Linked DNA regions of Coturnix japonica. The protein of the gene in region 2 interacts with the protein of the main gene of each other region in a pairwise test. Links are inferred from orthologs where the notes say so. Each region holds a gene or a part of one and is shown on either strand. Other genes may lie near its edges. The genes, in order: GRAP2 and GAREM1.

The links.
Region 1: the proteins of GAREM1 (region 2) and GRAP2 interact in binary tests that used the Homo sapiens proteins (3 or more experiments, as listed by UniProt). The link is inferred for Coturnix japonica from reciprocal best matches to the Homo sapiens genes GAREM1 and GRAP2.

What each region holds. Positions count from the first base shown.
Region 1 is NC_029516.1:45,877,465-45,880,207, forward strand, and holds the end of GRAP2 (GRB2-related adapter protein 2), read right to left. Parts: intron 2,404-2,743; coding exon 2,224-2,403; 3' UTR 806-2,223; downstream 1-805. UniProt on the Homo sapiens protein: Interacts with SLP-76 to regulate NF-AT activation. Binds to tyrosine-phosphorylated shc.
Region 2 is NC_029517.1:96,227,852-96,231,920, forward strand, and holds the start of GAREM1 (GRB2-associated and regulator of MAPK protein 1), read right to left. Parts: upstream 2,801-4,069; 5' UTR 2,480-2,800; coding exon 2,359-2,479; intron 1-2,358.

The DNA.
Region 1 (2,743 bases), on a different chromosome or scaffold from region 2:
TATCGAATTGCTACGTGCATTATCTTCAATTAATTTTGTGCAGCTACATCTTCACTACCACGAGGGCCTTTAAAGTGCCGAGGAAAGGAAAAGGAGGCACTACTTCCAATTTTAAAAGTAACTAGAGAAAAGAACTGACTGAAAGATGATTTGATGCAGTGGGAATAGGGGTGAACATACCATTTTCCTGTTTCAGCCAGACCTGAATATGAAAGAATAATCATTCTTATCCCTCTTCTGCTTTGACAGGTGTTTTTTTTTATCCTCTTTGGTTCCATCTTTGCTTTGGGTTTTCACACTCTCTCATCAAATGTTAACCCCCTGTCTTCCATATTTGACATTAGTTAAAAAGAAGGAGGAAAAAATAAAAAGAGTGAATTAAAACAAAACACTTCAACCTGTAGAGTCACTGATGATACATACCTGTTAGTGAGGTAGCTTGTTCCAAACCAAGCCACATGGACATCACTTTAAAGGCAAGATGCTAATGGCCAGGAACAGAGCCCTTGCATCAGAACAAGGCCACGTCCAGCCCAGGGAGTTGTGTGCTCTGTCTCCATTTCCCGAACTACCCTGGTAGCCAATGGAGATTAGCTCTTAATGTGCCTTTCAAAGATTTCTATTCTATTGAGAGCTTATATGTTAATTATTCTCATTTTACTTTGACCATTAATAATCTGCTTTTGGTGGAGCTCTCTCAAACCCTTGACAGTAGGTCCTTTCTGCTAATACCCTGTCTAGGTAGCAGCTTAATTTAGGCCAGTAACATTGAATTGGGCTGCACCAGAAACCTGTTTCCTGGATCTTTTTTTTTTTTTTTTTTTTTTTTTTTCCTCCCTCTGGGACTAACAAAAGATAAGAACATTTTTCTTGCCGAGCCTAATTTGTTTTTAGAATTTTTCACTTGCCTTTTCTTTCTTTCCCAAGAATGATAAATCACCACTTCCTTGCTGACTGCTGAGGTCCCACATGTTGTGAAAAAATCAGGCAGCTTGTTTAATATAAACTTGTGTGAGCAGTGGTTATGCAGCAGTGCCTCTTTTGGATCATTTTTAATATTCATTTGCAGTATATTTGTATCACGTCTTGGCATTCACTCAGCCACGATTTGAAATCCTATTCATTTACCTTATTTCATGTGAAAGAAACTGGAACAGACTATTCAATGGCCGCAACTTTATTCCCTGCATACTGTAAAGTAACAGCTCAGTGATTCGCATGAGGCAAGTCAGAGCTGTGTATGCAGTGATCCAAAACACCCCACCTTCGCAGGGACAAAAATTCTGGCACCAAACCAGAAAAATCTCTTCTTCCCAGCCCCTCCCCAGTTCAGTTGTAAAAAGGAACCAGTAAGGCTCGCCCACTGTTATCCAATCCAGATGATATTCATTTAGCTGAAGGGCTTGATCTGCTCTAACCAGGACATCTACAAAGATGCACAGGTGCCTTGGAAAGCAGCTTGAAAATGAGACAAATTGTTGCTATAGGGTGCAGATGGAAGTACAGGAGAGCAGGGCTGTCTGTAGAAGCACTGAAATTAGCTTCTTACCCTCCCATATCTTCACCACCAGGTTGTTTGTACATAAACTTAGAGGATTTCAGCCTTTCACCTGGTATCCACACAGCCGAAGTCCACAGAAAGTGCTAGAGGTGCAAGCCAAAAACTATTTATAAAAGTCATGGTTGCCTTGCACCTCAGCTTAAGGGCTTTTCATCCCTGCCTAAAGGAAATGGGATTATCAGTCATCATTTTATTCACCTGGGCACTTGTCCTTCCTCTGAAAGAGGTGAAACAGAGCCTGAAGGGACTATGAATGCAACCAGATTAAAAAAAAAAAAAAAAGAAAGAAAAAAAAGGGGGTAGGTTCTACCCAGATATTGAAGCCTGACTTCTCTGAGTTGAATTTCCACAGAACAAGCTTAACTGCAGCAAGTTATCAATACTTAGCCAAAGGAATGATGGGGCAGGGAGGATCCAGCAAGATTTCAATTAACAGGCCAGCATTCTTGCTCCCCTCCCAGTCATGAATATGCAAAACAGGGGGGAAAATCCTTCAGAGGGTTCTCTTTCTCACCAGCATCTCAGAAGATCAATTGCCAATAAATTAAGACAAAACCAAAACCACCAAATGCCCTGGGAACATGGGAAGATACACTGCTTCTCTGTCCCTGTCATGTCAGACGAGCAGCTCTGATATGGACCTCTGGGGCACAAATGCAGCCTCACAGTAGCACCGGTGTGACATAGTTGGCAGGGAAGAGACCCAGTTCCCCACGCAGACGTCCTTTCCACCATGATGGATTGGAGCTGTCGAGGACTTCCACGATGTCTCCACTGCGGAAGCCCAGCTCATCGTGCTCCATAGCATCGAAGTCATACAAGGCACGGACCCACAGTATACGCTGGGAAGGAGAAAGAGATGAGCAGGAAACAACGAATTACATGCTTGATCCGGACTCTTCAATGAGCTCAGGCCTTCTTACAATGCCCCAGATACCTACTGTGGTGAGCTGATGCTAAGTTCCTTCTTCTAATAATTCCATTAACTAAGAATGATTTTGAGTATACTCATATATATATGCTAATGTTACTCTCCAGTCCTACCTTCAAAGTGCCACAGAATGAGATTCAAGTGGCCACAATAGAGCCTTGAGACTCAGAAGTGTCTTCTCCAATACACCCCAACATGTTCAATACACTGTTTCTCTTGCAATATCTGTACAGGTGTGGCATTGCTAAGGG
Region 2 (4,069 bases):
CTTCCTTCTTGCAGAGGATCAAATTTAGTGCACATCAATATTTCATAACTTCATCCTGTCAAGAAATCAAACTGAACTACTTAAGGGCACTCTTCCAGGAGACGCACATCTTAACTCCATGCATGAAACCACATTCATCACAGCCCTTCTCCCCCTTCCAACTGCAAGGCCTGAAGGTGAGGCAGCAGTGAAAAACTTGAGATCTTGTATATGTGTGTGTATAACCTAAGAGCATTACCCACTAGCTCAGGCTGCCCAGGACCCTATCCAATCTGGAATTTCCTCTTAACACCTAATGTAACTCTCCTCTCTTTCAGTTCAAAACTGTCTCCCCTTGTCCTATCAAAGCCAGAAGGTGCCTGAAGACAGATATCAACCACCACGTGCAGTGCACTCAGCTCCCACCACCCCCAACAGGAGTTCAGCTCTTCAGGAACAGGACAGGCCACTTCCGCGCCAGTACTGCTCTGATATGCTGGTGACTACCTGCAAGCTGTACCATCAGCAGTGTGGAGATGAGAACTCTATACCTATCTGCCTGTAGCATAGGATTACACACATCTGGAACAGATTTTGCACTTCCTTCACTACCACATGAAGAAATTCTGACAGAGCTCTACTTGGCAGCTTTGCGGGATGAAGACAGGCACACAGGGTGAGCTCCCAGGACAGGAGTTGCTCCAGTCATCTGTCAACACACTATGTTCCCAGCTTGGACACCATGCACTGATTCATGCCTGCTTCCTCTTGTTGCAAGACAGCTTCCCTTGAAGACAGGAAAAGCGTCCTCTTGGTACCACTGAGACCACAGCGTCTGAGCTCTTTATAAAATATTGATCTGTCTGCCATCTGCAGTCCCTTAAGTTAAAAGGTGCATCTGTACAAGGAGGGAAAGCAGGCCTGAGAGCCTTTGTCTGCTCCATGCAGCTGCCTCTGTCTGGGCACTCCAGGACATGGTCTCACAGAGCGCATGACTGCCCACATCCACCTACACAGTGATGTGCTTCAGGTGCACACGGGTGATGAGCAGCCCTTACACAAAAGCAGCAGCACTTGTGTCTCTGGGACATCCTTCTCACCAGGTCTGGCACAAGACACCCCCAGAAACACATCCAAAAAAGGGGTGGAGGGGAAAAGATTGCTCACCTCCCAACATCCACAGAGAACTCCCAGCTCCCTCCAGAGGGAGCGATTCACGAGGCAGCAGACAGGCTGAGAAGGAGCCTGACACAGGGAGAAGGAAATCAGTAAGTCATCAATACATGTGCCCTGTTAGAGCCTGAACCACTGCCAGGAATCGCGAGTGAATTGATAGCCTTAAGTGCAGTGACTGGAGGCCATCTTGGCTGCTTCAGGGACAGAAGGTAGTACCACAGGAGGAACTCCTTCACACAGCAGCTTTGCCACTATTGCAGGACAACACAGGTTTGGCAGCACGAAGCACAGCCAGCTGCGGCTAAAATGGCAGAGCAGCCTTCTCCAGCCTGCTCCCGCACGGCAGCTCTGGGCTAAGGCTGGGAAGCGTGCCTCAAACCAAGGGACAAAGTCAAAAAGCACTGGCTGAGATTGCTGCAGGGTTATGGGAACTGCAGTTAAGCAGTAACCCAGCCCCGGTCCTGCCTAGCACACGGGGAGCTGCAGCATGCAGTGCCCACGCTCCTATTTCACTTTTCAAAGCAGCAGAAAACTTCGTGAGAGCTCCGATCAGTTCCATCGAGCAACTGCAAGGCCACTTCATAGGCTAACAAAGCACAGAGCCCTGACACGTTTAATTCTGAGTTACCCTCTGCATTCCTTCAGCGATGGGAAAGCAGGACGGTGTCAGGGAGACACGATGCAACGCTATAGCGAAGCAGCAGTACGAGCCTACGGAGAAGCCCCAGCGCTGCCCATCCACTGAGCGCTGCCTCCTCAGTGGGCACCGCCGCCGCCCAGCGCTGCTCCTCATCCCCCGGACGGGAGGCACACGCACAGCGGTTCGTGCAGGTGGGCGCCCAAGGGAACAGCTGTAAGAAGTTGTCAGGGAGCCGTGCAGGCTCCTCAAGTCACCCCTGGTTCTCACAGCTCCGCCGCTTTCCCAACAAGCGGTGACAGGAGACGCGCCCGACTCTGCCGTGCGATATTCCCCCTCCCTCGGCCCTGCTGCAGCATCGCGCCACCGCACCGGCTCTCTCGCACCTCGCGCCTCTCTAACTTGGTTTGGCAGCGAGCAGCCCCCGCACCCCGGCACTTTTCGCACAGCCGTGTGCCCGAGCCCCGCGGCACTGCCGAGACCGAAGCCCCGGGGCCCCGCGGCCGCCCCCGGTGCGGCTGAAAGCGGCCCGACCCCCGCGCGGCCCCGCCGCCCGCCCCACGCACCGCTGTCCAGCCGGGCGATCTGCGGGAGGCGGTAGGTGCTGACGAGCAGGTCCAGGGGGACGGCCACCGCGCTCCACTTCACGTCCTTCAGGCTGAAGCCCAGCGAGGAGCCGGGGTCCATCTTCCCGCCTGGCCCGAACAGGGCAGCGGCGCGGAGGGGAGGGAACCGGGCGGGCACAGCCGGCGGGGTCGCTCCCACCCGGCAGGACGGCGGCGGAAGGGAGAGAAGCGGGGAGAGAAGCGGGGAAGGCAGCTCGCCGCGCTCAGCGCCGGCTACGGCCGCGGGACATGCCGGGCTAGGCAGAGGGGGAGGCCCGCCGAGCGGCCGCCGCTGCTCCCGCCGCCCCCCGGCATCGGCTGGGGCCGCCAGCCGCCGCGCCTGGCCCAGGAAGCGCCATCCCAGCACTGACTAATCAACAGGGTGCGAGCAACGCCTGCGCAGCTGCCGCTCCTCCCCGCTCCGAAAAGGAAAGTGCCGGGCTGCCCGCCCGCCGGGGTGTGCCGCCGCCCGGCCCGGCCCTCTCACTCCACCCTCCGACCGCTCGGCCGACGTGCAGGGGAGGGGCGGCAGGTGGGCACCTGGAGCTGCCCACAGCGTGTGGACGTGACACTGAGAGCCGTGGTTAGGGGGCATGGTGGGGATGACAGTTGGTCTAGCTGATATTAGTCGTCTATTCCAATGTTAATGATGCTACAGAGTCTTATGTGATCTCCACAAGGTCAAACTGGGCATTAGGAAAAGGTTCTTCACCAGAGAGTGGTCAAGCACTGGAACAGGCTCCTCAGGGTCATGGCACTGAGCTGCCAGAGTTCAAGGAGTGTTGGACAACACACTCAGTCAAAGGGTTGAAATTTAGGGGGTTCTGTGTGGAACCAGGGGTTGGACTTGGTGATCCATATGGATCCCTCCCAATTCTGGATATTTTTTGATAAAATGTTTTCCTACCCCCCACAGCTTCTTATCTGCCTGCAGCCCCCCCACCCCTTCCTCCTCCTGCCCTGTATCAGGCCCAGCCATAACTGCGTGCTATGTGGCTGCTGCCAGCAGCACCACGAAAACAAGGAAGGCTAAGACAGATATGCTCTTGTTCTGCTTGGCTGCAGACAGACTGTCCATACTCTGAGATGAAATGACAACTATGGAAGCCAGAGGGGGTAACACAAACCCAAGTTAACTTGCTTTAAAGGGGTCTGGGTAAGGGTTTCTCACCCCTATGAAAGTCCTTCATTCTCTGAACTCGGTCCTGGTGCTGTTAGATTCCACTTACCGGAATTGCTAGCTTCACAAATATGAGACACTGGATTTTTTTTTTCCAGAGTTGCTTCCTTTTTATGAAGTTTGCAGAATGCTTTGAACTACTTCAGTGAATTGGGCTATTGAAGTGCAAAGTGATATAATAGCTAAAAGCATTGCTGTTGAAATATGGAAAGCCAAAGTACGGTTTTAACTTGTTTAGCTTTGCCAAGGTTTTTATGCGTAAGGTGAAACAGATCAGGTCAGACTGGGATTCACTAGGACCAGGAGCACGGGTCTGTCAAGAAGTGGCTTTAAAAGCGATCCCAACCCATGTTAATTTCAGGACAGACACAGCCTCACCTCACAGGCTTCTCTCAGGCATCACACAGCACTTGTGCCTGGGCAGAAACATTTCTCCCACAGAATCATAGAGGTTGGAAGAGACCTCTGGGGATCATTGAGTCCAACCTCCCA